Linked DNA regions of Drosophila melanogaster. The protein of the gene in region 1 interacts with the protein of each later gene in a pairwise test. Each region holds a gene or a part of one and is shown on either strand. Other genes may lie near its edges.

What was found.
Region 2: the proteins of aly (region 1) and wuc interact in a two-hybrid assay, tested with the Drosophila melanogaster proteins (one study listed by BioGRID).

Annotation. Positions count from the first base shown.
Region 1 is NT_037436.4:3,023,610-3,028,457, reverse strand, and holds aly (always early), read left to right. Parts: upstream 1-1,936; 5' UTR 1,937-2,033; coding exon 2,034-2,134; intron 2,135-2,197; coding exon 2,198-2,473; intron 2,474-2,536; coding exon 2,537-3,866; 3' UTR 3,867-4,329; downstream 4,330-4,848.
Region 2 is NT_033778.4:12,698,179-12,701,411, reverse strand, and holds wuc (Wake-up-call), read right to left. Parts: upstream 1,332-3,233; 5' UTR 1,200-1,331; exon of another isoform or gene 1,116-1,199; 5' UTR 1,109-1,115; coding exon 850-1,108; intron 794-849; coding exon 642-793; 3' UTR 561-641; downstream 1-560.

The DNA.
Region 1 (4,848 bases):
GTGGCGATAAGCCAGCTCCAACCCATGTGGCCCCCCAACTGGGAGCTGGCGATACAAACTGCTTCAATTTTAATGTCCTCAAACTGTCATAAACTGTAAATGCACAGTAAAAGCCATGAGTATAAGGCGGGCAAGCTGCGACAGATTCTGTCGTGTAGATGGCCAAGAAGCTAAAGCTGTCAGCTCAAGAGTTTAAGTTCGACAAGCTGGTGAAACTATTGTATCTTACACTGAAGTCCGATTTTCACTTAAATATTATATGTACTTCGTTTATTTAAACCTAATATAAAAGTGGGAAATTAATTGCCCCACTAAGTGTTAATCCTTTTCATACTAACGCTGTATACCTTTTGACACCTTCATGGTTGACTTCTGATTCACATACGCCCATTTAAAACACCCCTCACTCTTTGAACTCGATTTTTTAGGTTCACTGAGCAAACCTTTTTTTTTAACACGCTTGCGTGTGCCGTTCAACATTTAGCCAGTTTTTTGGGCCAGTGCAAAGACGACCCGCAGGCTGAAAGCCAACATTCGCTATACAGGGTACAATATAGCCGCATGAGAATACCCATTCATATGTATATGTATGTATGTATGAATGAAGTCGTGCACATGAGTAACCCGTTGGCACGACCTATCATCGCCCATTCCGCTGGCTAAGGCCTCCTGGCTGGGCGATGGGCGGTGGGTGGTAGGTGGGCGTGGCACGTGTCGCCTGCAGCTTTCATTAGTTCAATGTCAATGTTTTGTTTTGTGATCCTGGAACACAAAAACTGAAGAACATGGGAACCATCCAGCTGTCTGCCTTGGGTTTTTAATTTTAAGCGCATGTTGCTGGCCTCCAGCCAGCCACCTGCATCACCTTTGCCTGTCTGCTGATTAAGTGAGTACAAGCTGCAGGTGTCCTGCATTAGGACATCCCGCTGCTCCTTCGAGGCGAAAGGAATGCAAATTAAAACTGGTATCTCTTCCTTCTGTCACCGATTCTGCGGAAGCTCTGTGTGCACAGCAAATTGAATGAGGTGCACAGACGGCAATCGATATCTCGATGGAGGAAGTAATCTTTAAGTTCCTTTAAGTCTGAATATCTGGATATCCAATTTCCTTTTTCCCAGAAAACGACCGCAACACATGTCGAAAGTTTGCGGGCACAAACCATTGGCATACACTGAGGTGTATTTATAATTTAATTTAATTTAATTTAGAATTCCGTTTTATATAATTAAATATGGAATTTGGATGTTAAAACAAGTGTGTGTTTCAGCGTTTCTAACTAAATACTCTCGGAATTTCATTAGCAATTCTCTTGTCTTTGTACCCTTTTTTTTTGCAGTGCACAGGCGTACTTACCACATCACAGACATGGAAATTAGGCCAAAAGTGCGCAGGCAATAATGCTGAAATCCATTTACGTAATTCGAAATCCGCTGGCGGCGTTTTAGCCACGACAACAGTCGTATGCAAACTTTATTAATTACGCGCCCCGATGACCATTACCACCATATCGACCATCTACTATTGACCATGAAGCCATTCTTGCAGTCCGGCGAAACTTTGGCTGTTTACTATTTTGCTAGGCTGAGTTTCGGCCACCCATTGTTGTGTTGCGCAATTGGCACCAGCTATGAAAATCACGCAAAAGTTTTTCAAATTAAAAATTCAACAGATTTCACTCGGAAAATCAACAACCCTGGAAAGCGGCATATAACAAAAAACAAAATCAATGAATTAAAAAAAAAAAATTACATAATTCGATTGAGCCTGCTGTTCATAAAAAATATTGATACTGTTTATTAAAATCCATGTAAGACTTTAGTTGTTTTAATTTAATTTATCAGAACTGTTACTTTAATAATGACTTTAGTTAGTACCTTAGAAAATATGGCAACCCTTGACAGAATTGAAATATGTTGGCAACCCAAGTTTGGAGGCCATATGTCAAATGGCGTGAGACTTTTAACAAAAAAAACATTTGGTTCAGAAAAACTTCGCTTAAATTACTAAAGAAAAACTTAGTAGACCATTTCAGCATGTCAGTTGATCCACTATCAATCGATAATTTCACAATCCAATCTGAGATCTGCGAAGAAAACGAGTTTCTGGCAAATATAGGATTACTATCTACGACAACGTAATATTTTCTCCTTTTCTATCAAATATTAAAATAGAACTATAACTGTGCTACCATCCGTAGAATGTCGCGTCATCAATTGAAGAAACCCAGAAAGATGGTGGCGGCATGGCAAAACGATGAATTATTTATTAAACGCCCAAATTTCGCCCCGCGTATTAGGATTTCCGAAAAGCCAGAGATCCAGGGAAGAATTAAACCAGGCGTGGCGTCCAAAAGGACTGAGAACTTTACAAAGAAGCCGTCCAATATATCTGTAGATGTTTCGGAGGACGAGAAAGCGAAGGAAAAGGAAAAGGAGCAGGATCCCTACTCCAATGACTTTATACTTGGCAAGAGGTTCGTAATGGGAAAGATTCCCTAGAGATCCCTTTAAGTGCTTAATTGTTCATTCTCCTTTAGATTGTACAATTTCCTGAAGTATCTCAGCTCTCACCGTTGGATTTGGTGTGAGTTCGTCGACTCCTTCCTGGACAAGCCGACCCTGACCATGGGCTACGATATGAAGCGCTTCATAGCGGAGTACTGTCCGCTCCTGCACTCTTGCTTCATGCCCCGCAGAGGATGGCAATTGGTACGTCGGAATATGGGGAAGGCGCGTCGATTTTCGGCCGCCTTCATCGAGCTGGAACGCGAAGAATTGGAGTGCCAGCGCCGCATTGTGCGCCAGTTGCAGCAGCATAAGTTCAATCCCAAGGAGAACGTGGGCTACTTGGACCAGATACCCAAGCGTGTGCCCCTGCCACTGGCCAAGGATGCCACGGTCAGCAGTTTTCTGCACGGAAACTCCTTTGAGGGCATCGTCAATGGCACTGTCATGGGCTACGATCCGCAGGACTACACCTATCTGGTTCGATTCAATAGAAACGACAATGCAGTCGTGCTCAGTCTTCCGGATTCACAGCTCTATTCCGACGAGGAAACCGCGGCGGTTCCCTTGTCAATTATTATGCGCGGCAACAAATCGTCCTCGGTTATTTCGGAGAGCGCCAAGACCGAGAAGTTCGGAAACAAGAGGTACACCAAGGAACTTCTGGAATCAGTGCTAAGGGTTGGTAAACTACAGGATGTCAAGCACAAGATCCTCATGGACTTGGCCCGAATGAATGAGGATTTCGAGACATTCAAGGAGATTGGTTCTTCAAGTAGTCGTCGCGATGCCAAGGTCACACCTCAGCGTGAGAATCTCCAGCGTCGCTATTCGGCCAGCATGATAACGCTGCACCGAGTGAACGCTGATATCCTTGAACCGCTGCGCATCCTGCACGACTACCTGGTCGAGTATCAGAAGCAGGACGAGGAGGAGGAGTCCAAAAGAGGTCGTCCCGCCAGCGAAGTCTATCAGAAGTGTCGCATGCAGGCGGAACAGGACCTCAAGACTGCCGCGGATGAGAAATTCCTGAAGATAGAATCGGATCGCACGCAGGAGTTCGTCCGCAACCTTCACACCATACTGTATCTCAATGGAAAGCTGGGGCGCGAGAACAGCTCCAATTTGGAGACGATTATCGCTGATCTGGTTACCCACATGGTGGACAACATCCAGCCATCGCTGGGCCGGAAATTAAAAGATGGCGTCGATTCCCTGGAGCCTCTGCGTCAGCAGGTGGTGCAAATATTTAAAGACGTCAAAAAACCAGAGCGCTTCCAAATCACCCAGCAGGCTCCGATGCAAACCGAGGATGGTATCTACAACTTTGTGGTCGAGGCACAGCCGGATACTCCCAGCTAAACACACTACCTACTGGCCCTTTGGAATACTGAAATAAAGCCTCGCTCTTATTTATGGCTCAATTAGGAGGAGTGTCATGTGCATTGGGAGTTTGCCGGCAGAGGAGCTTAACGAAGTTTCTTGTGGCTGCTACCTTGTAGAGCTCTTTTGGTACTTACGCGAAGGGGTAGTTGGGGGGGGGGGGTACGTGGTTCTAGGATTTATTTCAAGTTTCCAGTGGCACGTTCCACAGGAAGTCAGCCGTAAAACAGTTGACAGATTGGCAACCAAATAAGTAATGCGTATGTGAACGAAAACTTTAAGGGGGCACTCAAAAAAGGATAATCACTGGGGAATGTTTGCTTTTTCTAAAGGGCCTGTAAATGTGTTACAACTTTGATGATAGAAAGTGTAGTTTATTAAATACTTAAAAATGATTAAGAAAAACTCTTACTATAACTCTCTAAGTACTAATAAACCCTGCAAAAAGGAGGTATGGAAATTTTCTCTTTTTTTGAGGCTAAATTTTGTGCAGCAATGTTGCATCCCCACATAAATCAGCATTTACGAGTAAAGTGTTTTCTATTTTTTAATTACTAGATGGATGCACTACGCTCGTAAATTGTGCGGGTGAGCCAGTTCCGCCGGGGAATTTGCCAACGCCCATGTGGCCGCCATAAAGACATCATTAATATGCCTCCGGATGCACTGCGTCGCTCTGTCCCCCGGGAGGAGAAACGATCGGCAAAGGAGCTGATGGCGTGTGTCCTGCGGGAATGGACTCTGGCCATTTTGCTCCCCCGGATGTGTCGTCGTCATCGACTAAGATGTGCGTATCCTCCACGGAATCCACCCGAGCGGGCGGCTCGTAAATATTTATAATACGTTGAAGCTGCAGGGGCGGCGAATCCGGCTATAAATTTATCGAGTGCAACATTTTTTCCACTATATGTTACAACTGTGGTAAAGACTCTGGTTGAGGATGCATTCAAAATTAAATGTT
Region 2 (3,233 bases), on another chromosome or scaffold:
ACCGGGAGCTCCACCTCAACGGCAGGAGGATTGGCGAATGCGATGGAGGCCACTAAGCGCACAGGAAGCCCGTCGGAACGGATGCCGCAGCTCCGGCCATCTGAACTCTAGACTCTAATGCACGATTAATGCCCAATCCCAGACGCACTGCTTCCACCTCCATATGCGATGTGCATTTCCTAGTAACAACAGTCGAGCTTCGACAAAAGGAAGACACTGAATTGATATACATCTACAAATACATCCAGATATGCAGATGTGTATTTGAAACTTATAAAAATATTAAAATGTGTAGTATTTGGTAGATATATTATTCTATCTCCTAGCAATATGTTTGGTTTTTAAGTTCAAGCTACAGAAGTCCCACTGTACTTGACTTCAGATGGAGCCGATGTCGTGGGCGAATGTCGATGGCATGTCCATTTTCAGAAATTAAGCCCTGTAAGCGGCTTTCATGGGACTTTGCCCACGACACTCGCCCATCTGGCCACTTGGGCCATGTGGAGCTATGTGTGGCTTTGCCACTGGACGGGGAAACGGAATGGAGTTGGAGTCACTTTCGTTGACGACCCTTTATTTGATACCATCAAAGTCATCAACAGTACAGTATACAGTGTTCTGTAAGCAGATTTGTCACTTCTTCACTTGTTGGCGCGACGACGGCAGTTGCCAAAGATGCGCAGGTGTTTGCTCCGGATGAGCTCCCTGGCTTCCCATTGACTCAGCTCGTAGATCTCCTTCTCCATTTGCTGGATCTGGGCAGCTATGGCCGCCGGCGGGAGTAGACTTAGTTCTGGAGAAAGTTTTGTTTGTATATATATGAATTTATCACCTCGGGAAACCACTTACCATACATCTTGCGCAGGTCGTTCTCCCTTTCCACATCCTGTTCACCGGCTGCCTCCTGTTCCTGGTCGTTTTGCTCGACCATATCGTCGATGATGGAGTCCGCTTGCTTTTGATCCCGCTGACTTTCCTCTTCGCTTTCCCCATTAGAACTGCCCCTTTCCATCTTTTCCAACTCGAATTCGATTGGGTCCTCCTCCAAAGTGTACTCCTCATCGCTGGGACTTCCTTCCCGCTTAATGGACTTCGTAACTTTTTTCATATTTTCGCTAAATTATTAACTTTTCAATAGGCTTCCTTGTTGTTTGTTGAAGAAATGCTGTGCCAGCGTGAAATCGCCTAATTGAGCTTACCACCTTGCTAATAGAATATATCAAAACAGAAGGGACCCAAGAAATTAGCTTCCGTACACCACTTTTTGCTGGAATGACAGGTTTAAAATCCCGAATATAAATCCACCCTTGGCGAAAGTTTTTCCAACGCCTAATGAGCTGTACAAAATTAATTGTCACCGCAGGAGGGTTGCCACCTTCAAAAAAGGAATACGTAATGTGCAAATTTCCAGGAGTTGCCAGGGCTGCAGCCAAGGTCAATGTGGGAAGCCCTGCAAGAACTGAATACCGGCCATTAGAAAGCGTTTTTCAAAGGACTCGGCTTCTTGTAAACAATCGATCGCAGGCGTTTTCCATCCCCCAGAAAGGAATCACCTCTTCAGCCCAAGCAACTTTCTTTACAGGGGTGTATGATCAAAATTATTTAAAAGGGGATTTTTAGTATTATAATTGTGAATAATTGATATATTGATATTAATAATAATAATAATATGATGATATGAGGAAGATAGAAGATTCAAGAACTTACTAATACATTTCATAACAATAATATTTAAATCTTAATGTCCTTGAACCCCTAAAGCCCCCTCTTTGTACTCACTACCTCCATTGTCCTTGTCGCACGTGTCCGCTTGCTTCGGTGGCGGCTTAGCAGCCGAAGGACATGGACATGGAGTATATGTATGTCCTGATGGTGACAAAGGGACGCGTGCTCATTATTCCCCCTGTCCAGCCGTGTATTCCGTCTGCTTTTGTAGCTGCTTTATGGCCAAAGTTTTTGGGCAAAGTATCGTTTATAGCCGGGTCCGCGACTCATGCAAATTGAACAAGTTAAACTTTTGAAGGGGTCGCTGTTCGCCCCACCCCCAGGACTCTCCAGAAGCGTTTTCCCCAGGGTGGCTGGCGTCTGTGTAAACAGTGTTTGCACCGCACAATGGGCCCCATTACGCTGCAGTTTATTTGCAAGGATTCGGCCTGTGTTAGCCCGTGTTATCATCCATGCGGCACGTGCCACTCGCAGGGGGGGGAATGGTTGGAAGTATGTCTGCTGCTGACTTTGATTTGTTCAAATCGCTGCCTAATGGATGTTAACATGATGCAAAACAAAAAAAACATTCCAAAGTTGTGCTGACTTCTATATCTATATATATTTACAAAAAAAAAAGTTATTTCTTTTGCATCATTTTCGCATGTTCTTAAGGTCGAAATTGAGTTCTTGAGTGTTTTCTCAATTATTGGTAACAATTTTACAATAGAGCAGTCTTTATTATAGTGTCTATAGTTATTTTGCTCAGTGCTCTTTAAAAGACGCAGTTACCACTGTGACAAGATAGCCGCCTGGGGCCAAAGAACCCAAACAAAACAAAGAAGCAAAGTAGTAAAATAGTGGCCCAAAACAAACAAGTTGGCCAGAAAGAGAAACAGAGACAGTAACCCAGACTAGACTAGACGATTAGTTGGCGGCAGGACATTGTCCCAAATCCGGAATTGACCCCTGAAATCGGTATGGGTCCTTTGCCAAAGTGCAGCTGCACCGCTTTGGTTCGGATTTGATGCCAAATATTGGCAATTTTAATGAACAACATTCTCGCAGCATTCAGCCATGCAAATGGCCCATTTAATTGGATTAACGCACATTTCCGCTGCGTCGCTGGCCAATTTATCACAGCTTTATGTGTGTTTATGTTTATTTATGCTGCGATTTAATTATGCGCCACAGTTGGAAGTGTGCCATGCGGAGATACAGATACATTTGTGTGGACATGCAGTTGGAATTGGAGTTGGAGATGCGGATGTCTGCCCCAATGCAATTGCTCTTTCTTTCTTACTCATTGAAGTGCCCCTCGCCTCGAGTCGCTGGCTTTCCTTCCTTTCTCGCCTGATTTACTGGCTGATCCATTGTGAACGGCTGTCGATGGCAATCGATACGATCCATACGATCCATACCTTGTATACATATATACTTTTTAGCACCGACCTCCCGCCTTCCCAACTCCCCGTCTCAGCAGAAATCTGACAGCCTGGTGCGAATATCTGATTCGGGATGAATGCGGG